Lepisosteus oculatus: one gene and its partners. The protein of the gene in region 4 purifies or fractionates together with the protein of the main gene of each other region. This does not show direct contact. Links are inferred from orthologs where the notes say so. Each region holds a gene or a part of one and is shown on either strand. Other genes may lie near its edges. The genes, in order: waplb, pds5b, pds5a and smc3.

Region 1 (7,205 bases), about 12 Mb from region 4:
GGGAAATATTCTCCTAAGGGATTGCTAAACACAGAAATGATTAAACAAATTAAAGCTGTCATCAATCGATTAAACACATTATTGCCGTCATATAAGGCCTTGGCCTTACAAGACCATGAGGAATAAAGGGCTTTTATTTTTTTGCTTCACATCCCAATGGTCACTCTCACCATATTTTCAACACTGATCACAACCTGGACCACTTACTAGCTCTATAATCCAATGGTCTGAGACACCGTTCTGTACAGTATTTTGGGGGGAATTTCAAAAGTGGGAGAAAGTCGAAGTCACAGTTAAGCGTTTTTATTTTTTCTTGTGTTTTTTGGGGGGCACTGTACCAGCATGTCTGGTGTGTGGGTGTCGCGGTGCCACGCGAGAGGACTAGGCGGGGCAGAGTGGGCTCAGGGCCGGTGGGCTCCTCACACTCACAGAACGGAGAGTCAGCTGAAAGACAGACAGGAGGCAGGGCGGGACTTAGTCAGGAAAAGACGAGCCTGTTTCATGCAGTGAGTGTTCCCTTGACACCGAGCTGCATTTCTCCAGAGAAAGATTCAAATGTGGCAGTCTTTTGCTGTTGCCCTCAAAAAGAAAAAACTCCAGCTCATTTACTGTCCTTGAATTAATAACCATTTTCAAATGCATTGCTCGTTCATAGATATAGAATCTACATACTGGAGGAATTTCCCTTAAAATCAATGAGTGCATAACACAAAACCAACAAATTGTTCTTTAGACATATAAAGCAAACGAGTACAGCATATCTTTGCCTTCATCAGTAATAAAACCACAGAAAGGTGAGGTGCATGTGTTCGCGAGTGGAATTCAAATTAACGCCGCTCATGATTCTTGCGCTATTTTTGCCAAGAACGCTAGTTTACATATCCCTCCAGCGACGGTGGACGTTTGCGCGTTCGTGTGGTGCCTGAGTGCGAGAGCCAGCCTCCAGATGGCCCCTGGCAGCAGCCTCCTGTCAGATCTCTACAGGTGCGCGCCAACCCTCCCCTCGTCAGCCCCACACAGGCTGGCGTGCCTGGCACCGGCCCGCGCACTCAGCCCGCCTGACAGGCAGGACTCCTGGCACAGGGACACTGGCTGCAGGGCAGCCGGCACAGTGTGGCACAGGCAGACTTCAAATGGCACAAGTTGTACACACCGGCTCTTTGCTTCGGGGCATTAAAGGTTCTTGGTGTGCGCGCTAGGATGGCTGCCAGGAGACTTTAAAGACTCCCGAGTGGTTTGCTGTTCCCTCTCTTCACGACGACAGCTTCTGCAACGTGCCACCGCAGAAAGATCAATTCAGCAGCTTTTGAAGTACTGACGTCTTCCTCATTTCCCCCTTTTATCTCTTAGGACTTTGAGCACCCACTTGTTTTCTGTTGGCAGGTTTAAGACGGAATCTGTCTGTCTTCTTCTTTCTTGAGAAACAAATGTAAAAAAAAAAAACGTGGAAAAAAACAGCGTCCGAGGTATAGAGAGACGACGGGGAAACGAGGCAGGGGGAAAGCGCTTGGGAACACCCTGCCGGGTGTGTGATCGGACAACCGCCGCGACAGTGAAGAGACCTGCCGCAGGCTGTCAGGGGCGCTGGAGCTCCGTCACACCTTTCCCCTGAATTCAAACTCTCCGCACGACAATATTAAAAAGAAACAAAAACAGTATTTTATTAGTATAAAACAGTATTTCTGCCTCTGTTCTCAGAGAAGGGTTTCACGGCTCCCAAAGCAGAAAAACAACAGAAGCGAAACTCAACCTGAAACTAGGTTCACACCATCGACTCCCTCTGAAGCTCCGCGTTGTGCTCTGGGCTGCCGGTCGGAGCGCAGGGCAGTAAGGAAGATTCCCCTCACCTCTCCCGGTGCTTTGCCCTAACCGTGCTCCTGCATCAGTACCCCCCGCGGAACAAGGGCACCGGGGCAGGGAACACTTCCGGCGGGCTGAGAGATTTCGACCAGGCCTGGTGCGGAGGCCTGCAGGGGGACCTCCCAGCGCGTCTCGGCGCGGTGCCCACCTGTCCTGATGCCGCGCAGAGTGGCGTTGATGGTGGCCCGCACGGCCCGCGCGGCCTGCGCCTGCCCGAGCAGGTCGCTGCCCAGCGGGAAGGGCAGCTGCCAGCGGTTGGTGTTGCCGGCCTGCTTCCTCAGGCGGCCGCGCGGAGAGGAGGGCACCTGGGGGCGAAACACAGTCACTGGGGGGGTTCTGGGTGACAGAACCTGCGGCTGAGCGCTACCACCATCCTCCTCCTCACTCTACATTACCCCCTTGTTCTTCCTTTCAAACACTGTCAAGCGAAACAGAACACAAAAAGGACTGTAAATGTTCGTATGAATATCCAGTCCTTTGTTTCCCCGGCTATCCGTCCCTGCGAGTGTTTTGTGTTTCCACAGAAGACTGCTTTGAGCTGGTGCATCTGGGTCTAAACCTTGGCACAGAGATCTACTCGGGGCTTCTCTGTTTTGTTTTCCGAGAGAAAACACCAAAGAGCTCTTACCCTGACCTCTTCGGAGGGTTTGTCCTCTAGCGCTTTATAAGGAGCTTGCAGCAGAGATCTGGTGGCCGAAACAAGAAGGACAATAACGAGACATTATAGGCTGAACTGCAGTCCCCAAAGAACGGCTTTTTATCGGAGTCATTGAACAGCACCCCACCTGCAAAGCACAGTCCAGGCGTCTCACTTACATGATGCAGGCAGCTGCTGGCGTCATGTGTGTCGGGGGTGGGTTGGGCACGAAGGTGTTCTGCAGCGGATGACCTGGAGCGAGCCGAGGAATAGTGCCGCTGCCGTCCCGTGGCAAAACCTGAGCCATAGTCCAAGATCAGTGGGAAGCTTGAGGCACTATTTTTTACCTGCTTCTTCAGCTTTTGCGGATTGTGATAGTCACGACCCCGCTTCCCGTTTAATCACTACCACTGTGTCGATGGCTGTGTCCTAGGAGGCGGTAGGAAGTTAAGACGCTATACTTTGCGACGTCGCTGCGGTCATTCGGAACAACGTGAGACTGGCAATTGTTTCGCACGTGACACGGGAATTCTTCTGTTCTGGACTGTCATCCCCCCCACGGACTCGCTCCTCTCCGTTCCCACGACAACAGAGACGCGGTGGCTATGGAAACCTGCTTTAGACAGATTGCCGCAGTGATTAAAACCACTTGCTTGTAACATCCGTCCTTCACAGCAGTGGAAAAAGTGTAGTGTTTCAGACTGATATCGGAAGAGAGCAGTGAATGGGAAAATTAACATTGTGTAGACATTCTAAAAAAACTATATCGCATCGTACTATATCGTTTGTCAATATCGCCAATCAACCTCAAAAAGTTAATGCTATTCAATACTCATTTATTTGTTTTTCTATACAACATGGAAAACACAACAAAATACAATAACTAATATAACTGTCGTGGTTGCACGGGTGATGTGCAGTTTGCCTTCAATGTGGTTATAGATTTATTTTTTAAGAAGGCGAGTAAACTACTTCTCGGGTGCCAAGAAAATGTACAGATGGAAACTGTTCAAAAACCTCGCCACAAGAGGGCAGTAAATACCACTGTATCGTGACAGCAGACCTGGGGAATTCAATTTTCCACAGAACGCCTCCCTGTGCCTAGCGCCGGTGCTTCGCAAACTGGTTGGTTTTAAAATATAATTCAATGCAGACATTTAATTCATTCATCGCATATATTCAAGATTTAATAGTGCATTAAAAGGGGTGTCAGAATTTTTAAAATACAGTCTTAATTTCAAACGAAGAGGAACAGTTGCAAATGAAATAACCATTAATGCACTTGGTGGTCTCCAGTGTGAAGTCACTGATAAAACCAAAAACATCGACTGACCTAATTTTTATTTTACTCGGATCTAAATATGAATATAATCCAAAGGACAGTCAAGGCTGATATTTGTACGCGCAGCTATACGTTGAAACGTAAAAAATTGAGGCTGCTAGGAGTTAACAACGTAAACCCAAAGCATTTCTGAGATGTGTAAATAAAGGGGACAAAGCAATATGTATTACATAATCTTTGCTCTCCTAATGTTGCTTTTGATCACTACAGATCCCATCATCCCGTTGAATTTACGTATTAACGTCTCCTTCTAGACGCTTCGCCCTCCCCCTCTCTCCTCTTTGATTTCAATCTTAAACCGTTTCCTTCTGCCGTTGGCCAATCAGATCTTCACTCACTGGGACGCAGAACGGCGGTTTAAGCACCACAGGGCAGCATTGCGCCTTGTGATTGGACAGACGGCAGCTCGCTGCGAGGTGACGGTGGTTTTGGCAGCGAAGGAAAGAGGGAGGGGGGAACCCGAATGGCAGTCAGCGGCGCAGCCGAAAAGAGTCAGGCGAGTTTTGAGATAAATTAAAATAACAACAATAGAACTTTGAAAACAAACTTTGCTCGTCCCTGGTGACCCCGGGCTCGCTATACTACACGAAGGGATAGCCGCTGGTGCCGCTGGAAGTAGTTGCCAGCTTGTTTATATTGTGTGAGGGGGCCGAGAGAGCAGGAGGCCCAGTCGAGTGCGAGCAGAGGGAAGCGGCCGCCTCGGAGTGTGAGTGAGGTGAGTGGCCGGCCCGGAGGTTTCCAAACACGGCCTGGTGATCTCCGAGTAAACGGGGGGGTGGCTGTTGCCTTTTTTTTTGACGCAGGTGCGATCGCAGCGACGCAGCCAGGCAGTACCTTAGCGAGCGGACGCCCCCGGTCGCGGTTAAAGCCAGAATCTGTGGGGGCTGGTGCGCAGGCAGGCAGCTCGGCGAGTTTCAGCCCAGCCGTGCGGGCTGAGGAGGGGTGTAAATAACGGTGTGGAGATAAGCAGCTGTCAGGCCTGCGTGCCTCGCGGAGCGAGCGAGAAGAGCCTAGCCTCAATCTATGTCTCGGGTAGCATTTAAAGATTTCTTTCGAAAGCGGATCATTGCGATTCACGTATCGAATAACTTGAACAATGACCTGCGAGAACTGCAAGTTCAATGAAAACACCGTGACGTTGGTCGTGTTGTCGAAAGTGGGACATTGGGGCGAATTGTCATGGACCCAGGGCAGGATGGGGGAGTACAGCATTAGTCGTGTTTTCTCCCCGTGTTGACACGAAAGCTAAGAAAGCTCAATATATATTTTCACCGATTCTTAAAAATACGGTGTAGAAATAAAACCCCTGTAAGTGACGTTCGTTTTCAACACTTTAGCTAGTCTTTAGTGCTTTTATGGTTTGTAGGCCCGATGGAAAACAACCGCTTCTTTTGTATATTACCGTTATGAAGTTTATAGGATCATGAGTTGAGAGGAGTACGAACTGATCGTGATCAAGTACACATCTGTGAAAAGCACGGTGACGCAGATATCCGGCTTTCAGTCTCCACATTAATAGGATCGATTACCGCAAACTCTCACGCAAATTGATTATTGCCAATCGAAGAGAAAGTTCCGGTGCGTGCTATGTTAAAATTAAACGCTGTTTGCTTGACGGCCAGTTACCACATTGGTTGAATGATTCTTCAGTCACGTCGCAAGACTGTTGTAAGTTAAATTTAAGAACAGTCAGCTTTAGTTTAAGAAAATAAGTTGTAATTTGTACTAGTTTGAAATGCATCGTTTTTACGCTTTGACAGCCCAAAACAATGCGCTCGGGCTCACGCATGCGTACTGAGAAGAAAATCGATCCTGCCTGTTGTATCCAAGTTAGCGGATGGCAAGGTGATTTAATATAACTGTATATGATTTAATTTTACAAGCAAAACATGAGTTGATTCAGTATACAGGACGTTTTGGTTTTGTTTGCTTGGTCTTTGTTTAGAAGTGAACGGATTTTAAATGCTGTTGGTCATAAGATATTTGATGTCATACTTGGTAATGTACAATATTTGAGCAGCAGGGTTACTAATTTTAGTAGTTTTTCAAAAACAATGTTGCGCTTCTTAAGTAGTATTACGTACGGAAAACCATCATCAAGATGCGTTTTATATTGTTTTTCATACAGAGTGTCAAAACGGTATAGTGTTTAAAAGCATGTAAATAAACCTTTTTAAAAAAATTATATAAGAGGTTACAAACAAGAAGGTGCAATTCACCTTGTCTAGCACAAGGCTACTACTTGTAGTAGCTAATGATCTCAGTATCACCTTCAGGTCTTTCTGGAGAGAAGCTATTATATCAGCTTCAGAAACGTTACTGTTATGGGCTAGCATGTTCCAGACGTCACAACTCTTAGTACAAAAAGAACCTTCGGTTTTCAGTTTTAAATGCACTTCCTCTTAGTTTCCATTTTTGTGCTCTTGTTTGTGTTTCATGATTCCAAAGACGTCGATAGGGAAGACTGTCAGCTGCAGCAGTGAGATAGTGAGATAGAAAAAGAGATTTTTCTATTGACAAAGTAGAAAGTACTATTCTGATTGTTATACTTAAAAAAAATACCGTATAAATAGATACCACCCTTAAATGCAAGTTAAAACGTTTTGTGAATGTGAATTGCTACCCAGTTTGACACATTTTCTTAAGTGGATTACTACTTTTTGCTTTTCTGATATGCAACAATCTTTCTAAATTGTAATCTTGCAGGTTTTTGTGATCGACGTTAGTATTGCATATATCGGATAAAACGGCTACAAGAAAAAAATCAAATGTTCCTTTCTTACACCAGACATAACAATGGAAAACTGAAACATTTCTCTTGTACAGTCTTGAACATTACATGTATTCAGTATAACTAACTGTAAAATTCGTACCCAGTATTATAGAACTTTCAGTATTGCGCAACTAACTTCTCTGCTACGTTTGGAAACAAAATGGAGAAGGGTGCTTTGGTACCAAATGCAGTGGAGTATTTTTAAGATAAACAGTGAAATATTTAAACATTTATAGTGTAGCGATTTCTATAATGTCACATTGAATAGGATACCTGAAGAGAATATGTGGGAATTTGGATCAGCATTTCAATATTGGAAGTGCATTTGTCACCAGGTCACCAGCTACGTGATATGCTTTGGCAATTTAGTGTGCTGTTTTTTTCTGGGGAAATTTTCACCTAAGCTGTGACACCTCGTTTCTCACAAATGTTGTAAGAGATGACCTAACATTTATTTGAAGCCATCTACCTGTGAGAGATTCTCTCTGCATTTGTAAGTTTTTGCCCTTCCATGGCAAAACTGAATATTATGGAATTTGGATCGCAACTGCAGGATGTTCCAATGCAAATGTGCTTTGAAATACAGGCTTGCC
Region 2 (7,189 bases), on a different chromosome or scaffold from region 4:
ACAAGTCTCCCCGTACTAACCTGGAAGTGAAAAAGTGCATCGTATTAACCAGAAGTGCTCTATTCCTTCTCAACATAGAGAGCAACTGCAAAATCTATTTCTGTTGCCAGGGCTCACGAGACATGTGCCTGGGTTCACAAAGCAATCTAAAGGTATTTACACATCTGTAGCTACTAGTGTTCAAGATCTGCTGCATTCTTACTTCCCGGATGAGGTAGCTGTTTCACAGTTCAAGACAGCAAAGCACAGCAAGGAGAACAATCATAAGGATGGCCAACTTCAGCCCTTTGTCTGCTGGTCTTTACTACACTTCTGATCTTACTTTCTTAATTCACCTGATGATTCAGCTAAAGGGTCAAGCCATCTGTGACCGGAATACACTGCTTGACACCCGCAGGACGCCAGCCTTTGAGGATAGACGGAAGTAGTGAGACAGTTAACTTACTTCCCGGTCAACACTGAAACATGGACATAGGGTCACACCTGACAACTAAAAATGAAGAGCACTGAGGATGGAAACCAGGAAGAGCATCTTTACACCAAGCGTAGTAAGGGTCTTGAACAAACTATGCAGCTAATATCCAGAAGCTACGCAGGTTTTCAAGAAACAAGCTGAGGTGATTTTTGGATTAACAAATATCAAGCAACCACATAAGCAAGAGTTTCTCAATGGAAACCTCTTGTCGTCGAACAGTTCAACAAAATGGGATCACAACTCAAATTATCCACTTGTACCATTATTAAATTGGCTGATATACACATCCAAAGAGGTAGATTTGTATTCGAGTGGCTGATCATTCAACAGAAGCAACCAGAGTGAATTATCTTACCCAAGGATACAACAGTACTGGCTAACCCAGGACTTTTAACTCAATTTGCTATTATGAGTTGTGAGAACAGGGTACTAACTACGACTGTCGTTTCCCTGGCTGCTATCCTGCAGAAGCCATACAGCTGGTCAATCACAATCCTCGCACACCATTTATGATGATCACCACTTTATACAAAATATATTTCTGAGGGAATTTTTAACACTATTCTCGGGTTCAAAACAGGGATCCTCAGTTTTGGTCCCAGAGGGCTGGTATATGTCTTTGGGGAAAAAAAAACAGTTAAACAGAAGGGAGAAGCTGTCAAACTGGTGCAGTTATGAGCCACTGATGAGCTGGTTCAAGTCCTAACAAGCCCATCTGGACTGAAAACCTGTTAACAACCTATATCACACTTTTGATCAGGAAACAAGACAAACTGGTGGACACCGACAAAAGCTATTACTTTGTCTTTCATAGACGAAGCGCCTTGATGGACCCCCTAAGCTTTTAAACAAAATATCAACGTGCAAACTAACGTTAAAAAGCCAAACAACAAGAGCTTAGGGGTTTAACTTCGAGAAAATGTAGACGTTACTGTTACCTCCACGTTTCAAGTGGCGAATCCGGAATCCCCCCCTCCGACACCGGCAAAGGAGAAGACAGGTCAAAGCAGAATACACGGAGCAACGCCTTGCAAAGCCAAACACCACATAGAGCAACAGCCTTCGTTCGGATAAAAACAAAACCTTTACGGTTGGTCACTCTGTCGAGTCGAGCATAAGGTCGGCGGATTGTACACGGCGGTGAGAAAAGACACCTGAACACCGCGCTCTGGCGTCGCAGGAACGGCAGGCTACACTCCCGCTTCACCGGGTCGCCACGCAGAGCTCCCGCACCGCACCGACTTCACTTGTGGGGTCGTGCTCTCGAAAGGCGCAAAACACCGTCCCAGCGGAAATACGGAGGGGTGGGCGCCTTTCATCTGCCGAAAAACGACCCCCCCAAAAAAAAGAACGGTGCAGCGAGCGAGGTGACACAAATGCAACCCCGTCGCGTTACGTAATCTCCCCGGAGCCCGGCTTGGTTTCGAGAGAGGGGCTGGCGGTCGCGTTTCAAAACAAAGTTTTGGCGAGCTCTCCCGCACCACCCCGCCCCCAGCCTGTGCTACACGGACCGCCAAAACCACGCAAATTCCCTCCCTGCGTGCGAGACGCGTGGACCTTTCCGGGAGCGGGGGGGGCACTGCGTTCCAAAAGACGGGACAACCCGTCGCGTATTTCCACCCGATGAAAGCAATCGCCGTCCAGCCCAATCGTGTAGCTTCACGGGCACCAACAACGTGTGTAGCAGCAGGCAGCCGTGGCAGCCGATGGCTTCCCGGAGACCTACCGGACCGTCACAATGCCAAGATTAACCCAAACAACTGATCATATTTTCACACGGCCGTGCCGCTGCTGCTGCTTCTTGGTTTGGGGGGGCTGGGGGGGATTTGAGTTTTTCTTTTGCCACACCGCTAAATCCAGGGACTCGGTCAATGAAGACAAAAAAAAAACCCAAAACAAAACATGCACCAGCTTATCATCAACCGGATTCCGGTCGAAATCAAACTACCGCGAAACGCGCCACCGTGAAAACCGGGTCTTGAGGAGATTGTTATTGCCAGTGTTCAGTGCGACTGAAGCAGGCAAGCGCTAATTAAGGAAAACACACTGTCGTGGTACGGACACCTCTCACCAGGCCAGCTCTCATACACACGAGCACCGTCAAAACCGCAATACAATCACACGTTCAGGGAGAAATATACATGTCAAAGAGCATGCACGGAGCCCACATATGAAGTCCCGTCCTAAATGCAAAAACTATGTTTGCGAAATAAACATATTTCACATTTAGAGGCGGGGGGGAGGTGAACCCGTGGAGTCTCTTTCTCTTCCCCGGTGCTGCAAGCACCATACAGGCAGGAAAAGCGGACAGCAGCCGCCAGACAACAAACGCTTCTTTTAACAGTCTTTCACGCACTATTCTTTGCACTTCTAAGCACCCCTGCGTGACCATTGTTGTTATACACCTTTTGATTTGAAATTTGCAGCATTTGGTGTTAATTAATCCTACCTAGTTTGATGAATAACAGCCAATCGTGTCTTCTTGCAGCTCTGATCCTCCTCCTGGCTTCAAAATGGCGCCAATTTGTCTCCGGCTGCACCAATCGAGCCACCGAGAACAGACAGTCGCGGAGGCACAGCGCCACCTAGGGGAAGATGTCCAACAGAGCGCAGCCCCAAGTTCTTTCACAGACCCACAGCGCCGCCTGCAAGACTCTCTCCTTTTGCAGTGAGATAAATATTCCGTCCCTCTCACTTGACACACACCTTGCACATAAATTAATTCCAATTTCAGTGAAGGTTTTCACCTCGGGTTACACAGTGACTACTCCAGCATCTTCCAGACACAAAATGAAATTCACACCGTGTGTAGTTGCGTATTGTCACATTAATCAATCTTGCACAATTGTTTCATTTTGACCTGCAGCTCTGTATAACGTATTTTATGATGAAGAGTCACACTTCACATAATGATCATATACTTACATTTTATGTCTAAATTGGGGGGGCTTACTGACAGGTATTTCTTGGAAAGGTGTTCATCACGATAGGCTAAAAATCCCATTGGTTAAATGTTTTGCTTTAATCGTCTTTCAATGTATGCAACCATTACGTGTTGTTCTTTTCCATACATAGTGCATTCGTAGTATTTAAGAAATTCTGTTTTAAAAATACTTTCATTAAATCTATGTTGTTCAGACCTGTGATGATTCAGAATACTGAACTACTTGATAACAGAGTGCATTTATCCCAGTACCTTTATTAATACCCTTCTGGCCGATTTGCTCCATTCCATTATCTCTTTGCTTGTTATTTATTACAAATGGTTTAGCCCTCGTTCACAACCAGTACTTGTTAATTAACTGGATTTGACTTAAGTGCCTAAATGACTAAATAAGAAGCAGAAGTGCCATATAGTAATGGTTAAAAATACATTCATTTTTTTGTAAAATTGTTAAATTCACCTTTGAATGGCGTTTAATTCATTGTTTTATTCAGCTATATGTGTTTTGTATTAAAAAAAACAGACATGGAAACAATAATTATTCTTGACTGGCAGCAAGAATGCGTGGCTCAGAGCAGGAAAGCAGAGGTCCCAAATTGGTCCGATCTGTGAAGTCGGAAAATATTCATCAATGTATTCGTAATATATTGCATGCAAAAAAATCTATTAGGATTCTCAAAAGCGAAAAGGCTGTGTTCATTTTAAAATATAAACTTTAATGTCAATGCGTTTTTAAAAAGTGATTTAACAAACCTTTGAAAGCCTGGGACTATTTCATGTCATTGCTCCTGTTTTAAAACATTGGTTTGTATTGGCTCTTAATTTGCAGGAACCTCTTCAACCTTTTCTTTAGGACACAGGCAGCCTTTACTTCCTGTGCTCTGCTTTCCAACTTTCTCCTGGATTCATGTGGCAGTAAACTGCCTTTGATGCATCTGAATAGATTTAGGTTTGCTTCGGTTTTGACCGGCGGTTTAAATATTATTACGTTCGAAAATAAATCCCTGGACAAAACAAGAAAAACGTATAAAATATTTGCCTTCAAGAAAGTTCAAAAATGTCGTCTCATGTCATTTGTCAAAGCCGCTTTATACCATACGGTGTCGGGGGAAGCCGGAGCCTACCCGGCAAGGAACGAGCGCAAGGCAGGGTACACCCTGGACAGGACACCAGTCCATCGCAGGGCAACTTCAAGCCAATCATACAGGGGGACAATTTGGAGGCCACGGTAAAGGCCGAGGGGGGGAATTTGGCCCCGACACCGGGATAACTCCCTACTCTTAACGAGAAATGCTCGGGGATCTTTAATGACCACTGAGAATCAGGACCTCGGTTTAACGTCTCGCCCGAAAGACGCAGTGCAAGAATGTACTTGTGAAAATGTTACAAAATTATTTGTTTTTATCCGAGGAACAGAATGACTCTGGAATCAGAATCATACATTAAAATAACGTGATGTATTTATGTAAATTGGTAAAATACTTAAATACTTAAAACTTTTAAAACAGTGTGAGCTACTGTACTTCCATTCATTAATAAAAATCTTTTTTATTTCTTTTAGGGTTTATTATGCCACTGACTGCAATAAACAGGTTTTCAGAAAGGCTTACTTGAGAGTCTGTCTTCACCATTTTCTAATGACCATGTTTCTAGTTCAGCACTTCTAACTTCCTGTGTTTCTAATATGTGTTCACTTTGTAAATTGCTGTCTTTATAACTTTTGTTTTACACCTAGTGCACAGCTCTTTGACATGCTACGTTTATAGGAAGTACATAAAAATGTTTATTATTATGTTACTGTGCAATAAACATTACTTAAACATTTCAGAAACACAAAACAAACAACAAAACTCCAAGTATTAATGGTGTATTTAATCTTAGAATTCTTGAAATTACTGTATTTTAAAATAATTTATCAAAAGAATTGATCATTTTTTTTAGTAGGACTTTATTTAACAGTAACAAACTGGTCAAAATATTCCAAGAGTACAAAAATGCAATATAAAACATGAATAAATGGGTTAATACTGGTAGCTCCTGCAGACTAAAAACAGTTGAAAAATATATAACCTAAAAGGAAAAATCAATGTATTGGAATGAGAAAAGTCTTTCACATAATACTGAAATTAACCAAATGGTTCCACATTAGAAGGTTCTTTTATATCACAGCTGTAATAAATAATAAAAAAAATAATTTTTTAAAATAATTAGAATTTCCAATGGTAGATCTGACATATTGAAACAGGCAACAACTCAGAACAGGACAGTATCTCAAGTTTAGTTTACACCTGTTAGCCTTCCAGTCTACTACAAAAAATAAAATCTACCAAACTGTTTTCTATGCATCAGATTTGTAATGCCTAAGAATTCTAGTGAAACTTATTTCAAGAACATCAGAAATCAGATTATCTTCTATGTTTTTTGTTTGTGTAAAAGAACAAAACTTTACCTGCATAATTAAAACTCCCTTTCATTTCCACACTTAAAACCCATTGCAAATACTGCAAATACTCAAAGTTGTTATATTTAACATAATCTGAAGAAAGAAATATTCAAAATTGTACTTTTCTGTGCCGATGTATTAAAAACATCCAGCATCTAACACATTAGCCAGAGGACAGCGTGGCAAAGCCTTGCTGCTATACTGAAGGTTTTTAATCGGATTTCAATCCTGACATTTCCAGGGCTCCTCGGAATTCAGCACTTGCCATTGTGATCTGACCATTTTGAACTTCTCCACCATGTTCCCTATGACCCTTTCTGGCACTCTGCAGCCGGATCTTCTGTTTCAATGAAAAATTGAAATGCTTCACAAAACCAGCATGATTTCCAAGTATCCTGGCATACCCACTGCCTCTCACGTGCACAAACACAAATGCATTGAAGCTGGAGTGCAGAAGATGGATAATGTTCAACACAAAGACATATCTGATTCCGTTCAAGGCTTTCTAAGTCAACGATACGTGCAGTTGACCTACATAAGCAACATTAAACCAGGAAATAAGACAGCATGACCCTCAGGCCTGACTTTGATAACCTGGCAGCAATGACTATCTCTGTAGTGGATGGCTTTTGTACCAAGAGTGATTCTGAAGAAAAGCAGCACACTTGTACAAACACGGAAAGAGCTTATACGAAAGCAATACTGGTACTGGAAATTCCGGTGTTTCATCAATTTTAGCAAAATAAGAGACTGTTCATTACTGTGATTGGTTGCTGAGTAACTATGAATTGGATGGAAGGAGCAGAATGTTCCTGGTACTGGGACAGGAGACTTCTAAGGAAAATGAGGTTGTTGCTCTAACTGGTGTAGGTGGCACTCTTGGATGAGAACGTCCAAACGAATGCACCAGAATGGCGACTAGGGACACAGCTTGAGTAGATGCTGTCTTTCAGACAAGCCAGAAATCTTGGCTACATGTTCCCATTAAGGATCCCATGACAAGCAGGGGTGTTAGCCTTAATATTCTGACTGCATCCCAATTAAAGTTTGTTCAATCTGGCCTAACTACATCTCCTCCTTTAATTCACTTGACCTGCTGTGTAGTGGGACAGCTGGCGCATAATGGGTGCTGCAATATAGGAGGGATAAATGGCCCCCCTTCTGCATGCAAAGCATTTTAGGATATCTTGGACTTCATTAATATTAATTATATCTATAATTAATTATAATATATCTATAACCACCTACAACAGTCAAGCCACTCAGAAGCCCCACATGTTATGTTAAAGAAGGCCAGTGTAAATTGCCAATCAATGCAAGAAATGTT
Region 3 (7,728 bases), on a different chromosome or scaffold from region 4:
GGGAGGTGATCTCTAGCCTGTGACCTCCTTGATTCTGCGGTCTATTGTCACTGCCCACTGAAAATCTTCCCTTCCTCTTATTTGAAGACCAAATACTGACCTCATCGACTTTATCTACTAGCATGAGTGTCAGGTCCCAACAGGTCACAAAGAGCAAAAAAAAGAGTGTTGTACAGAAACCCATCTCCCAATGTTGACTGAAGAATGCACTGGCTTTATTTTGAAAAACTTGTTTCAATAATGAGAAATTAGGCATTGTGTCTAATTTCTTAGGGCATTAGGCATCGTCCCTGGAAATACCTGTGGGCCTACAGTTCTGTCCTTATCTCATCACACCGTAATTTCCACTTATCTCCTGCCACTCGACACCCTTGGTCTCTGTGCTCAGCTGAAAAGACTGTTTTTCAGAAAAAAATTCAGACGACACCCTGTTGGGTGGTGTGAGCAATATGTGTGTTAGTGCGGCCTGGAAAGGATTATGAGACGATACAGATGGTTTTCTTTGGATCAAGGATCACAATGACCCCGACTGAAGAGACTGGCACAGGACAATCCCTGCGCACACGCCTTTGCAAAGCTAAGCAATTTATCGGAATGAAACAATTCTCCAAACGTGCGAGCTGACCCGGCCGCACACCTCCGCGCTAGCAGTACCTGGCCAAGGTGGACTTTCCGGACCCGGGCGCACCCCTCAGCAGGACGAGAACCCGGCCCACCAGGACCGGTATCTTCCCAGAGCCGTGCAGTGGAGGCCGGGGCGGCGCCGGCAGGGCCCGGGATGCTGGGATAGGGGCGGGCGGTCTGAAGGGAGGCGCCCGGCCGCCGGCTCCCGGGTCGGAACCGGGCCTCCAGTGCCCCGGATCGGCCGCCAGGGGGGTGACGAAGGCGGGAGCTCTGCTGCGCGGCTGGAACTCCGGGGCCTGGGTGTTCCAGATCACGGGCGCGGCCGGCGACCTCAGGGACCGGTCCGCAGCGCGGGTCTCCGAGCCGTGGCCCGTCCCCTGCTCCGCCTCCCCCAGCTCGCTCCCATTCGGGCTGCTGCCCTCCCCACCACCAGCAGGGGGCGCGCGAGGAGGTCTGGAGCTCTTGTACGCCTGGAAGGCAGAGGGTCTCCCGCTATCCCCCAAGTCCAGCGCCGCTTGCCTGCTGCTCTCAGGCTCCAGCGCCAGGTGGCTGAAGTCGAGGAAAGTGGTCTCTCCGGGGCAATACCCTGCCCCGGTTAAACTCAGCCCGCTCGCTGGGGAACAGCTTGGCACAAGCTCTTGCTGCTTGGGGCCCTTGCCCCTGTCTTGCTGCCATTCTGGGGTGGACCTGCTGGCCGTGCCGGACATGATCGGCCCCGGATGCTCGCTGCTGACACCCGAATCCTCGGCAGGCTGGACAGCGCCGTCGAACGGCTCCTTCGCCAGAGCCCGGAACTCACTGTCTATCAGCTCGTCAAAGTCCTCGGTCAGGTGCGTCCCGATCGCGTCCAGGTCCCGCAGGCTGGCCTGTGAGGCGGCGGCGGTGGCGACGGTGGGGGGGCTCGTCTCCACGGCTCGGGAGGCGTGGGCCCCAGCTGGGGGGCCGGGAGGTAAAAGCGCCGTGGTGGACTCGAAGCCCAGGGGGCAGCAGGCAGGGGAAGCCCCCTCCGCGGCGGTAGACAGCATGAGGAGGGAGTCCATCGCCGCTTCAGCTGGGAAACAGGGGAACAGGAGGAGTCAGCCTTGTTAACCGTTTGGGTAACAGCAGCAGCAATAGTGTTCTTACGTAGGTTATTCGGTGCTCGGCTGGGGTACAAAAGAGTAATGCAGGGCGATTTTCTAGACCATGGGAGCAAATCGTAAGGCTTTATGTGTAAAGTAATAAGAATTTCATTTCACACATTTTTTCCCTTATGAACATGAATCAAGGAATGGCCGTATTATCCCTTCAATAACTTGATCTCTGTACATGCAACCTGTAAGTATCACCTTTTGCCTATATAATTCGCAATCCTCTGTGCCACTGAGCTATGCATGTTGACAGGAGTTTAGTATGGACCCAGGCATATTTGCATGGATTTTAACATTTGGCAAAATATAAAGGTGTTATTTAACTCGGAAAAGACACCTTCATGCTTCATCTGAGTGGAAATAACATTGTTCCCCGCGGAAGACCCTAAAATAGCTAGGGGGTTGTGCTTTTGAAATGTCTTCATTTTTATGTAAAAAAATAATATTATCTAGAAACGCACAATGTTATTATCTTGTAACTGTACCAATTTTTAAATTGTATGTAAAAAACATATAACTATTATTGAAAACTACTATTTGAAACAAAGTATCGGTCCGTCAAAAAAAAGCAACACCGACAACTTCCCATAAGATGGTTGATTATATACAGCTGATAGGGACTGACCTGATCCCTGGTGTTAACACCTCAACTGAACAAGCAAGCACCTGTTTCTCAATTCGCCGATTTCAGCATTCCTGACACTGACCGATAAACTGCGGGACAACAGCCTGAAATATGTGATTTGAAGACATGCAACATGTCCCACTGATTTAATGTCAAACGCAACAGTTGGGATAAATACAGTAATACCCCACATCTCAAACAACGTGGACAGTCCACTCATAATTTTCCGTTCCCGAAAAACAGTGCACGGCTATTGCAAAGTGGGACAACCTGAAACTCTCTTGGATGGGACAACTTAAAACTATCGTTACTGTGCTGTTGTGGGTTGAATTTGACCATTTGACCAGATAAATCTGAGAATACTCAGATGTGGTCATGAAGCGTGCATGTCCGTGCGAGCTTTAGCGAAACTTGAAGTCTGCCGAGACGATTTATATATATATAAAAAAAACATCTACTGCCGGATTGTAAGACTTGTTTACATTGCAGTGCGGGGCACTGCTGTCAGAGGGTGGAGGGCAGCACCGGTTAGGCCCCGTCCGGGCCCTCAGCCTCGATTTCCAGGGCATGTGCGGCTCTCCCGTGGGGGAGCCTGGGTGCGCGGACGTGCCCAGCGAGGCGCCGCGCTCACCTTGGAAATCGCACTCGGACAGAACGATATAAATGACTTCGGGGTCCAGGTGCCAAAACATCTCCCTCATGCGGTTCAGGATTTCTTCTCTGCCCGAGCTGGAGCTGGGGGGCTCCGTGCCAAACCTCCGCGACATCGCTCCGTCTTTCCCCGTAACGCTGCCGCCTTCGCCGGCGCTCGGGTTCGGCACCCTGGCCGGGCTCTGGGCGCTTTTCTTCTTCCGAGGCATTTTCCGGGCGCACAATGCTAACTTTCACTCCTTCTGGGTTGCACGGCAGCGGAGGCCATCAACACCACGATCAAAACAAGCGTGTGGCCTGAAACCAGACGTGCGCTTCGACTAGAGCGCGCCTAGCGGGGAGGTGTGAGCAAAGCGCCCTGTAGCTACACCGTATCCAGGACAGAAATATCGACGCTTCTCTAGTTCAGGTTATCATTTCATGTTCATAAGGACATTGCAAAGCTTTTGCAAAATTAGGACACTCCATCCCACGAGGAAGCTCGTCGCTGTTAGTCACCCGGTCGATTTTATTTATCAGGTCTGAACAGTGTTTCGGTAAAAGACAGCCCTGGTTATCGTTTTGCAGGGGAACCCGAATACATCTGCACGCTTTCACAGCTGAATTCCTGATTTTATTCCCTGCTAGTCAGCACATTAAACTCGTTTAGGCCTTTCCGCTTTCGGATCTGATTGTGTAACGACGGGCTGAAACAGTATATTTTGTGTATTTGGTATGTGAAAGACAAAGACACCATAGTTTTAGACTCAAACCATCAAATTAGTCCTATTTGGTTTAAAACTGTAATGATCAACTCAGATTTGAATGATGTGCCTACATATCCCTATAGCAGTGAAGTTATACACTGCCGTGTCCATTAGTCGGCGCTGTCACTTTTTTCCTGAGGTGGGACTTAAAGGTTTGTTTTTAACACTTGGGATGGGCGGTTCGGTGTACCGTGTAAACGGACAAAGAAGCGAATCCATAAAGTTTTTCCACAAAAGTTTCCTCCCAAAAATAACACCCGCCTACATTTCAGACTAGTCCGAATGTTATCAGAAGAAGAATTTATAATCAGCCTCTTCGCATTAAAACGTGATGGATGATTGAGCAGTACCAATAATCGTTCCGTAGGTGTACAATCAACACTTGGGGCATAGTGTGTGTACCGATTGTAAAATGTGTGTTATTGCGTGTTCAGAAATGTATTATCGAAGTTGTCTCGGATAACACCGATTCTCGAGTGCTCCCGGGCTCCTGCGAGTTTCAATAAAAACAAAATTGACTGGTGGGTCTAAAACTTTCCTTTGTCAATATGAAACCGCTCGAAGACTTCAAGAACAACTTGAAATTGGTCCAGTTAAATCATTAAGGTCCGAGATGCAATAAAAACCACGGTGGGGGTGGGGAAACCTTGGTTATTTTAAGGGTGTACTACGCCAGCCGGCATTTTTGTCACAACATGAGACCGTCCGTAGGTGCAGAAATGCTCAAAACCTGCGTCCCAACTTAAATAGCGCCCTCGGGGAGGGTTTCGGAGCGAAGACAACGCACGCCGAAAGTCGTGCCCGCCTGCAGTTTTCGGGGTCCTGCACTGCACTGCGCGGCGGGCGTAGCGGAAAGAGTCGGTGCGCCCGTATGCGCGGCAGTACGGTAGCGGGCCCCGGAAAGAAAGGGGGAAGTTTGCGTTGACGTCACTCGGCGGAGAGACTCCCGCCTCTCTCGGCCCCCCCGCCCCGCCTCGCTCCGCCGCTGGGTGGCGCTGCGCCTCCGTTCTCACCCGGGGAGGGGGGACTCGAGAGCGAACGGGACCTGCCTGCCGGAGCTTTTGTTGTTGGGACTGGAAAACCACCTCAGACCCGGCTCATGCGCTAGCCACGGCACATCCATGAGGTAAAAAAAACAACAACACCATAACACCGGCTTGCGGGGCTCTCGCTTTAGGGGAGAGGGGAGAAGGGGGGAAAAGCAGCGCCCCCCCCCCCAAAAAAAAAAAAATGTCTCGATTTTTCTTCCCCGGCGATGTCCCCCGAGCAGGCGCGTGCGGGGAGGGAGGGCGACGGTGCCCTGTGTGGGCAGAGGCAGAGACTGCGGAGCCGAAGTTGAAGAAACAAACAATAAGTAAATGAGTGGTGTTTTCCCGCACAAAAATTAGAAGTTGGCGGCCGTGCCACGGAAATAAGGCGGCGATACACCCGGCGCTCCCCCCTCCAGGGCTGGCGTAAGGGGGCCAAACAGCGCCGCGTTCTTATTTTTGCCGGTTTTTTATTCTTCGCTAACGTGTGTAATTTGAATAGTTTTGCGGCCTAACGCCTAGGCCCAGTATTTACCAGGACGGGGCTGGCTGGGGAGCTCCCCTCGCTGCCTGCCGGAGCGATTTGGGCGACCGGCGCCGAAAATCTCAATCGGGCGCCTGTTGTTGGGGGGTCGGGTGCGGGAGAGTGCATTTTCGATCACGTTTCATTGTGAAATGTTTACTTTTCTACCCTGATTGGTCGCCGAGAGGGAATGAAAGAGGGAGCCGGAGCTGCTTCCCGTCTGGGGGCTTTTAAGGATGTTTTTCCTTTCTCAGGGAAGGGGTGATCCGCGGATCCGGGGCTTGTGGAGAATCCAAGGGGCCTTCGTTGGCTTGATCAACCGTGTGTTGTTTCGTTTTGTGGAGGAGGGGGGGGTGAGGCTGAAAATGGGGTGAAAAGTGCGGTACATTCGTGCTGGTGAACTTTTGTTTTGTGACCGATAGAGGCCAGTAGCGCGCTGTGCAAGAGACGCCGACAGCATGGAGTTCCCGCAGCAGCCCAGACCCGCAGACGGCAAGATCACCTACCCGCCCGGGGTGAAAGAGATCACCGACAAGATCACCAACGATGAGGTCGTCAAGCGGTTAAAGGTAAGCACTGGGCCTTTCACCGGCGTCTTGAAGAAAATAAAAAGACTGGTTCAGCCTGCTCGCTCTGGACTACATCGCAAAGACTACATAATTACATAATGCAGCATTACGTACACGTGTGGAGAGGATTTCTTCATATACATGTCCATTTGTAACGTGAAAGTACTTATTTTTGCAGGCAACACACTCTGCAGATGTACACCTTTAATAGTTAGAGAAGGAATCGTTTGCAAAAGAGTAGACAAGCTGTCTGCTCAGGGAGGTCAAAGGTACTAGTGAATCTAGGAGTTTCTATGAAATATCAGCAGTATTTTCCTCCCACCGGTACTGGGCTTGTGTGTAGAAATAAAGAAGCCTGTATACTATATGTATAAATGTCAAATCACTAGAACCCGAACAGTTTAATCAACGTTTAGTCTTTTTCCACTTTCCCGCATGAGGAGATTAATTACGTTGTAATGCTTTTTTCCCCCAATTGGAAAGCTTTAACATGCGACAGAGGCTGCTGCTGAGAAATTACTGTCGTTGAATGGGTGGTTCGGTTCGGTTAACTGTCATGTGCACAAGTGCGATGAAGTGCTTATTTGCAAGTACTGTATGCTCCAGTATAAAGACGTTAAGGAAACGCCAAAAAAACATAAACACAGAACAGCAGCAGCAAGTTAAATAACATACAACTTAAAAAACCAGCAGTGTGAGCCCAGGGTGGCGGTAGAGTTCAGTAATCTGACGGCTTGTGGGAAGAAACTGTCTCGGAATCTGCAAGCTTGTGCCTTTATGCTCCTATAACGCTGACCTGAGGGAAGGGGGGAGACAAAGGAGGAACCAGGATGACTGGTATCCTTAGCGATATTTCCATCCTTCCTGAAACAGCGAGTTGTGGAAAATGTCCGAAAGAGAGGGGAGCTATACTTCGATGATGGACTGGGCTGTAACACCTTCTGGTCAGACAACGAGCTGACGAGCTAAACCACTCGGCACTGTGTGTTGAATGTGCTGTGTGGTAAATTCTCTTCCTGGCCAGTGAAGGTGTCTGGGTGGACGCGATCGTGTCTCTGCACGGTTTAATAGTGACTCAAAACGGCAGTCGCATGAAGCACCTTTACTGGGGTTTGCTCACAAAACCACTTGGGCTGAGCCAGTTTGGAGGAATGTTGCCTGGTCCTCTCTCGGCCAGGTTACCCGGAGTCTAGGGCTGCAGGTGGCTGTCATGGCACCCAAGGGGGCTCCCACGGAGAACAGGAAGGAACCTGCAGTAAATCTCGGTTAAACATTAAGAGTGCAGGACCTTTGCTGACCTGTTGTTACTTCGGGAAATAGCTGTGTGTATGTGTATGTACTGGGCCTAGTTGTGCTGCACCATGTGATCAGGTGCTACAAGGCTTTGCCTTTATATCGATCTGATCATGCGAGAGAGTCTTTGAAGCACTTGACGTACAGGAGGGGACCTGCTTCATCACTGAAGTGCAGCACCCACCTGGGACACACGTGACTATGTACAGAGCAGGACAGGTGGATACGTTTTCAGGTCCTTCAGCTTAATTAAGGAGAGAGCTTGAGGCAGGCAACATTGTACAAGGCCCAAGCAGAGAGGGTTAACGCCCCCCTACTTTCAAAGAGTGCCCTGAGTGTTATTTGGTAAGCAGATGAAGTCTAGATGTGCACCTGTCTCAAGAGTTGTGCAGCTCTCTGCCCGTGGCTCTCTGAAACTCATGTCTACAAATCGGCAACTACGAGGCTTAACATGGCGCAAACATCAGGATCTTCTCTACTGATGGGTGTCTGGGGATCTGCTCTCGTTCCGTTTAATGCACCTAGTTTGCGTTCTCTTC
Region 4 (7,831 bases):
AGTCAAGTGATTTCTCAATTAAGAATTGATTTTATTAAGATTTATACCAATTAAGAACCCTTGGAAACTCAAGGGTCATTACATTTTTCTTCTAAAAGATTGCTAATTGTCAGATCACTACTGTGACTGTCACCTGTTTAACTGATCACAGCAATGTTTTAAATGTATGATTTAATGGGAGGTGCTGAAAAGGTGCTCTCTTGGAGCAGGGATTATGGTAAAGTAAATGTAGAGATAATTTTGGAAGTTCACCCAGGTTGGTTCTCATACACTGCTACAATCTCAAATCCTTACCTCTACATCAGTTTCTACTACCCGTATAAACAAAGAACTAAATCAAATCTGCAATTCAAATATAGTTAATTTCAAGACACTGCATGTTATGAGCCACATAGAATGACTTCATGTGCTTTAAGCTGTAATTACTGAAGGAAGATGAAAACAGCACTTTTAGTGGAGACATCTAGATGAAATTCTCCAGCCTTTGTCCTAGTGTACCAAGCACCTTATGTTTTTTGTACCAAAAGAGCTGTTGATTAATTTAATTTACTGAACCAGGCATTTAATTTCAACACTCAGGTCTTAGTTTCCACAATTTATTAATACACTTTATGTGTATTCAATTTAAGAAAAAATGTTTCAAACACACCTATAATTAAAAATTATTTTACAATTTTTGGGTTTCTATAGTTTTCTAAACAACTGGTTAATTTACACAGGGGGGAAAGACACTTATCTTACAGGCATTGTCAGTGTTTAAGCACCACCCTGAAAAGATAAACATTCAGGAGAAATTGTGACACCCATCATATTGCATAGAGATTATGCTAAATTCTAGAACGCTTTCAATTTCAATTTCTGAAACCAACCATTAAAGGCAAACAGTCTTTCAATTTTTCAACTTAAAATATTTCAAATGACAAAAATGAATAATAATTCAATAATGAATAATAACATTTCAATAACTTAATAAAGCAAAGTATTATATACTTAAAACTGTGCTAAATGAAATGTGTTAATTGTATTTTCTCTCAGAAAATCCAGACATATTGGTTTATTCAACATAGAAAAGTTGACTTAAGTCATTATATCAGCCATCTAGCTTCCCTTTGGTGGAAATGCTTGCCGTCTACTATCAGGTGTCTCACGTTGTCACTATAGAGATTTTTGTAAAAACCATAGGATTTTAGAGATTTCTACTTCTTTGATTTATGTAATAAATGTGTGTGTGTATTAACATGCACTGGTAAAAGCATGTGTATCAGAAATAGTGCAAATAGAAATAGAAATAGCGGTTGCTCTGTGGCTTAGGATCTGCGCCTGTGGCTGGAAGGTTGCCGGTTCAAATCCCACGGCCGGCAGAGGAATCCTACTCCATTGGGCCCCTGAGCAAGGCCCTTAACCCTAACTGCTCCAGGGGTGCTGTACAATGGCTGACCCTGCGCTCTGACACCAAGCTTCTCTCTCTGTCTGTGTGTCTGTGTCTCATGGAGAGCAAGCTGGGGTATGCAAAAAGATGAATTCCTAATGCAGGAAACTGTATATGGCCAATAAAGTGATCTTATCTTATCTTAGTTGTCCGAGACACTATCTGTTGAACCCCATGTTCAATTCCCCGATTACCTCTTCTCTCTGAAAAGGATGTTGTTGTAACCTGTGAAATTGTAGCTCTGAATTCTTTTTTCCTTTATCTCACACTTTGCTTTTGCTTTTACTTTCTTATTTGCTTCTTTGGCACCCAAAATGGCAAGCGGCATTTATGTTTAAAACCAGTATGGTTCAAACTCCAGCACAATAGTTGCTGAATTTCATAAATCACCCTTGAGCTGCAGTTTGGGGGATGTTCATGGACTCCAGGAACCCCCTCACAAGCACCCACACAAACACAATGCAGTCATCGCTTCTATCAACTACCAAGCTACTACCGATGAGTTTCGATATCAGAGTCACGTTCGGAGCAAAACCTCCTACGTACTGCAAGTATGATCCCAGGTAAAGCTAACAGTATTCATTTCGAGCTGGGGTTTACTGTCCACTTTTGCTTAACCTGCCTCTAGGCAAAAGAAACTGCACACTTGGGTAGATACAACACAGGCTGCAACTTCAAGCACTTGAAGACTTTCGGACCTCAAATCACTCTTAAGATTTGAAACTTGTTTTTAAATCATTTAGATTGAAACACCGGTGGTGTTGGGATGCGGGATGGACCTTTGAACTTTCTCCTCGGTTCGTTTGTCTTTCCGGATCACACAATGTGACAGCCCTCTCCCCTGCTCCCATCGTTCTACGTCATTCAGCACAGAAACATCACAAGCCAAATGTTCAGCAAGAGAATCAACAACAACAGCAGCAGCTCGCCATCTAAGAAAGCTAGTTTAAGCACTCATCTCTGAAAAAATCCCCTTTTCCTGCAGATATTTAGATAGCCTGAGGCCTACTTCTTTCAGCTGACGAACTCCTGGTTGCAAAACAATATTGGTTCAGCAAGCAACATACTACCCCTTTATAAAAAAGATTACAGTATTCCCGTCGTATTTCAAGGCTCAAACCCGACGTACAGAAACTCCAACGTCTACCCGATGAAGGCTTGTAAACACGGACGTCAACTCATTCATTGCCCAAGTTGCAACTATTTTTAACCATTTCACAATTTTATTCAAGTCACCAACAGCTACAAAGGCAAAGGAACTCTGTCTAATCTGAAAGGCGTTGTTTCTAATTTCCCTCTCGAATACGTTTTTCTCCACCAAAGAAGAAGAGCAGTTTTTACTGTACCTGTTTAATGTACATGTTCGGATTCCCAGGTAATTTTCCCTCACAAAAGACAAATCAACGAGACGATAGGGAACTGGAAAATTCCTCTCCTTCCACCGAATGGAAGGAGCGAAAAGCTATCAATTTTAATCAATAAATGGTTAGAATGAAGTTATTTAAAGCAAACTATTCGGAAAAAGCAAACTCTCCCCCCCCATGAAAACACAGAAACAACAGGCACCAAGATGGCGACAGGAGGAGGGAGCAAATTGGGTATGCTTGAATTGTCCAGTGTAGGGGAGGTCGGTTAAATTAAATAATTATGAAACCAAGCATGGCGGACACTGGACGTCAATAATATTTGTAAACAAAAATAATTCTGTATGATTCCAGAATATCATTTTAAGTTTATGAAATTTAATTAAAGAAAAGCTCTCGTCATTAGTGTTTAACACCCACCCTATGTGTGACAGTTGGTATGCACCACATAAGGTGAAAGGTTCGGCGCCAAAGCTGCAGAGTCTGAGGTGTGTTCAACTGCGTTACTGTAGTCGATACTGTATAACTGAATTCAATGTTATTTTAAACTACATTTTACTATTAGACATTTAATATGCGGTGATAGATATACTACAAATCCTCTTTATCTACATTGTTTACATGTCGACAGTCGTGAAGTGATTTTATGGATTATTTTTAGCCATCTTTGTTGGCAGCGAGATACTACTTTAGGTTTCCCGTTCCCGCCAATGTAAAAAAAAACCCGAACGGATTACAGAGTTTTGATTTGTAATCAATGTGATGTGTACCTATGTACGTCCGTTTTACACAAAAACATAAATGCGGGCTAATAAAGATGGGTAATGCTGATATTAATTCTAGACCAAAGAAAAATGAGTACAAAAAATACAAATCAGGCAGGTAGACGTTACATAAACACGGATGATTCCTCACCGACAGCAAACCTTGAACAGGCTACCAGATGTGCTCTGAGGACGTTTCATTCCCCGTATCTGCTATAAAGCCATTGGCCATGTAGAAGCAATTGAAGGTTGCCGTGAAAAAGTGGTGTGAACTTTGTTCCATTTTGTAAATAAATGCAGAGCGAAAGACGCTTTTTCAATGAAAATATATTAATAAGTGTTGTTTACATTAGCCGACTGTTACCCACTCCATCCAAAAGTCTTGTCGTTTCCATTGCAACTACTGCTTCAAAATGTTATTTTACAAAAATACTGAGGGCCTGATGTGTAGAGTAATTGAAAAAAAAACTACTGTATCTTGCAACTACATTCTAAGGATCTCTGTCAAAACCGTTTTCCTGTCAATGCAATTTTGGCTTTAAACGTGAAAGGAAACGTTTGCAAAAGTATAAGGACTAGGGTGCAGGTGGCGCTGTTTACTGTTCTCAGATTGTAATAGTTTTGTCTTAGATGTGTAATAAACGCCGTAAAACCCAAATATTTCAAGATTTGGATTTAAGATTTAATAAGTCCAATCGTTTTACTGAAATTTCAAGTACAATGACAGGTATTGTAAGATGACAAATGTCAGACGTCACATTTTAAATTAATGGCTAGAAAACATACAAATTAACATAGTTAAAGAGAGAGGTATTTAATATGGCGCAAATCTAACATCGTTTCATCGAGAATGTTTCATTGTCATGGGATTCTAGAGTTATTTTTCATTGTTAACGCATTTAAGCACATGCTTAAAGTCGAAAAGGTGGGTTGTGTTATGAACAATCAAGTGGACTCCGAGGGAGTTTGGAAAGGGTGTTATATATCTTCTGGACTGACAGTTTCCCACGCCGACAACCCCTAGTCTCTAACATTATTGCTGCGCTACATTGGAGATTGCTGCAGATGTTCTCTTCTCTGTAAATCCAACATCTTTGCCAGCAGTGGTCCCCTACCACTGAGCAAAAATAAAATAAAAACCAAAAGTTTGGGATAATGCATATAAAGTTTACCAAGATGATCTCACATTTGTTTTTAAATGAAAGTACAAGGCACTGATGTCGTAAATTAGCACCCTTTTAAAGCCATAGAACTTGTATTTCAAAATCCACTGCTTGTGGTAGTGAGTACATTCTGTACCCTATAGTAGCACTGCCATATTCAAAAGAACAGCCACTACATGGGTATAACCCAGGTATGCATGCAGCAGAATACAAAGCACAAAACAGAGCAGGCACATACACTGCAGTTTTTTTTATATGGGTTTGGGAAGGGCCATATGCTCATTCAGGGGGGTGACAAGATGCTCATTTTAAGCTGACATTAAATGAAAGATTCAAGGTGGTTTTAATGTAAAGAAGCATTCCACTGGCACAGCTGGCATTAGAGCACGAAACCAAAAAAGCATAAATCATGACTATACAAAAATGAAATTTAAAAAATGCCACTGTTTGCTTTTTTTGTTTGATGATAAAGGAATAAGTTATCATTAAAGCAAAATAAAAATAAGGAAAATAAAAGCCTTTCACAGAAACAGCATAAATAAGCTTGTGACTAGGTCTATCTCACAGTGACTTGGACATGCTCTGAGGAAGAGATAGGATGCTTTTGTCTGTCAAACAGTTCTACATTTAGACTTTGTGATATATGTGACCATTTGTTGTGCTGATAGATTGCAAAAGCAGCACAGTGTTTCACAGATTCAAATGAAAGTGGCATGACATTTAGAGAAAGACCAGACTGCAATTTAGCAAATCGTACGTAACTGTCTGTGGGCTGGGGTGACTTTCTAGGTAAACGTCAATGGGAAAATGTTGAAAAATATCAAAACAGATCAGGACACAAACAATCTACAGTTTGATTGCATAGTTTTGAAGGAGGGCTGAACATGCCCATTGTATTCTTTTCTTTCACACCCCGCAGCACATCATTAATCCACAATACCTACTTTTATGTCATCTCAAACGTCAGTGTTCTCCTTTCTAGTGTAAATCATCACAATCAGGAATTTGGCTTGTGTCGTGGAATAAACCAAGTCAAAAGATCTGCAAACCAAAGAATTTCCGAACCTACAGATGTAAGAAAAAGCTTTTTACCACAGGTCAATTCTGTTAGAGAACACCCTTAAAATGATTAGTTTTCTGTCCAGAAACAAAACTGGATATGTGATTATGATACTTATTTTTACAAAGGTGCTGCTGGAATAATATGTTTCTGTCTAAGGAATGCTGTGGGCAATATTCCATGGAGTGTTATTAGGTTTCTGCAGTTTACAAAATACATTTTAAGTCACAAAAAACTATTAATTTTCCACTCCATTACGCAGCTGTTTTAATACACAAACAACACCAGACCTACTCTATCAGTGTCCTGCAGGAAAACAAATCGTTTCGATGCACGTTTTCTTTATCAGAGTGACCAAGAGGTGAAGTTTATAAGACAAGATTTGACTTTACCTTGCCTTCTGAAAAATCAGAATGTGCTAGTGTCCAATTCATGCATATGAGCAACACATTCCATTCTTCACTTCTTTACATCCTTGTTAAGTTGATATCAATATTAAATTAATAAAAACGAAAAATAAAATACCCAAATTTGCTTCGGTTTCAGAATCGTCTTTGTTCTTGACCTTCTTAATTTCCTCTTGTTTTTTATTTGCTAAGTTGTATGTTAAGGTTAACGTTTCTTTTTCTCGATGTCTTTGTTGTGCATGTATTTTGGTAAGCTACTAGGTTGCTATCAGTGCTTGACCATTTATAGACTGTATGTGTTGGTTTCTTTCACAAGAAGGGATCATTTACCTCATTTTGTGTCATTTTGCTGCGAAGGGATCATGTCTGAGTCACACGGAGTTGCACCAGTGAAATAACTGAACATACTGTATTATTCTTGCTTAAATTATCTGTTTTGCTTTGTGCCTGTCTGTGTGTTTTATGGAAATACGAAAGAAAAAAAGCACGCAGAGCTAAAGGCTGGAAACAGAAATGCAAGCTATTTTTGGAATAAAGTGAGATATGCAAAGCACAGCACGAATGAATTTTTCCATTTTATTTCTGTCAGTGATTGTTTCCTATGCACCTGTAAAAGAGATCAGGTGTGCAGATGTTTAACTCACTTTACTTGCCTTGCAATAAGCCAGTGGTCTAGTAAGCTAATAATCCTCAGAACAACCAGAAACTACAGGATTGTTTTTTAATACTGCGACATGCATTCAATGCAGCAACAATTGGCTTGCCTTTTTAGGGTGTCAAGCAGAATACATTTAAATTAGATCTATAAAAGGAACAAACCATCCTAGGGAGGATTCTGAGGAAAAAGCTTTCTGATAACCTGAGTGTGAGTTGTAGAATGAATAAAATAAGTGATTCAGGTGGGTAGCTGCGTCAGCATGCATTGTCTGCAAAGGAACAATAGGTTTATTTCATGCTGAAAAGAGAAGAGAGAAAACACAACGTTTCGGCCGTGAAGCCCTCTTCAGGATAAGTGAGCCTTCTTCAAAATTAAGTGATTGTTTACTTCAATTGCCAAGGCTGTTAATTCATTCAGATTAATTTTTCATTTCTGTGTAGTCCCAGTTAGAAAACAACAACACCACCATGTCCCATTTGGCAAATTACTTTATTAGCATTTCCACGTCATTGTCTTTAGCAAAATAAATATTTGTTGTTGTTTTTTTAAAAAAGCACTTTTAAGACCAACAAGGCATGGAGTATAATTACTTCCTGCCAGTTATTACGTAATTTAACATTTTAATAAATTAATAAAACTTGCTTGTCTTTGCACAGGCTTTCTGAGCACAATAAGGTTCACATCATCATAGTAAGGCGATTTTCCTACTTGATATCACAATACAGATCAAAGATGGCAGCATCAGTGTATCACTGTCTTTTGTTTTTCATTGTGGAGATGAGGATGGATATCGACAGCAACGACGTCATTGTTGGCCCTGCAGTTGCCGTTCTTAGAAAGTTCTCGTTCCTCCACGCTCCCATCACCCCTTTTCAGGGTCTGTGAGGGGGGATCTGAGCTCGTGGACTTGTTGTTGTTTTTTCAAGTAATCTTAGGAGACGTCAGCCTTCAGGTTAAGGCAATGCACTGATCGGGCTCAACTTTAA

Evidence for each region.
Region 1: the proteins of smc3 (region 4) and waplb purify together in Homo sapiens (affinity purification with mass spectrometry; 7 studies listed by BioGRID and IntAct, with this or other methods). This does not show direct contact. The link is inferred for Lepisosteus oculatus from reciprocal best matches to the Homo sapiens genes SMC3 and WAPL.
Region 2: the proteins of smc3 (region 4) and pds5b purify together in Homo sapiens (co-immunoprecipitation; 7 studies listed by BioGRID and IntAct, with this or other methods). This does not show direct contact. The link is inferred for Lepisosteus oculatus from reciprocal best matches to the Homo sapiens genes SMC3 and PDS5B.
Region 3: the proteins of smc3 (region 4) and pds5a purify together in Homo sapiens (affinity purification with western blotting; 8 studies listed by BioGRID and IntAct, with this or other methods). This does not show direct contact. The link is inferred for Lepisosteus oculatus from reciprocal best matches to the Homo sapiens genes SMC3 and PDS5A.

Annotation. Positions count from the first base shown.
Region 1 is NC_090699.1:27,849,611-27,856,815, forward strand, and holds the start of waplb (wings apart-like protein homolog), read left to right. Parts: upstream 1-4,196; 5' UTR 4,197-4,335; exon of another isoform or gene 4,336-4,554; intron 4,555-7,205. Other genes in the region: btbd16 (BTB/POZ domain-containing protein 16), read right to left, coding at 339-444, 2,009-2,165, 2,489-2,546, 2,677-2,804. UniProt on the Homo sapiens protein: Regulator of sister chromatid cohesion in mitosis which negatively regulates cohesin association with chromatin. Involved in both sister chromatid cohesion during interphase and sister-chromatid resolution during early stages of mitosis.
Region 2 is NC_090700.1:14,803,415-14,810,603, reverse strand, and holds the start of pds5b (sister chromatid cohesion protein PDS5 homolog B), read right to left. Parts: upstream 3,007-7,189; 5' UTR 2,925-3,006; intron 2,497-2,924; exon of another isoform or gene 1,630-2,496; intron 1,613-1,629; exon of another isoform or gene 1,414-1,612; intron 1-1,413. Other genes in the region: uncharacterized protein, read right to left, coding at 6,085-6,202. UniProt on the Homo sapiens protein: Regulator of sister chromatid cohesion in mitosis which may stabilize cohesin complex association with chromatin. May couple sister chromatid cohesion during mitosis to DNA replication.
Region 3 is NC_090696.1:68,270,352-68,278,079, forward strand, and holds the start of pds5a (sister chromatid cohesion protein PDS5 homolog A), read left to right. Parts: upstream 1-4,718; 5' UTR 4,719-4,902; intron 4,903-5,035; exon of another isoform or gene 5,036-5,130; intron 5,131-5,749; 5' UTR 5,750-5,785; coding exon 5,786-5,896; intron 5,897-7,728. Other genes in the region: n4bp2 (NEDD4-binding protein 2), read right to left, coding at 655-1,675, 3,011-3,239. UniProt on the Homo sapiens protein: Probable regulator of sister chromatid cohesion in mitosis which may stabilize cohesin complex association with chromatin. May couple sister chromatid cohesion during mitosis to DNA replication.
Region 4 is NC_090699.1:39,758,909-39,766,739, forward strand, and holds the start of smc3 (structural maintenance of chromosomes protein 3), read right to left. Parts: upstream 3,018-7,831; 5' UTR 2,791-3,017; coding exon 2,776-2,790; intron 1-2,775. Other genes in the region: dusp5 (dual specificity protein phosphatase 5), read right to left, coding at 7,799-7,831. UniProt on the Homo sapiens protein: Central component of cohesin, a complex required for chromosome cohesion during the cell cycle. The cohesin complex may form a large proteinaceous ring within which sister chromatids can be trapped.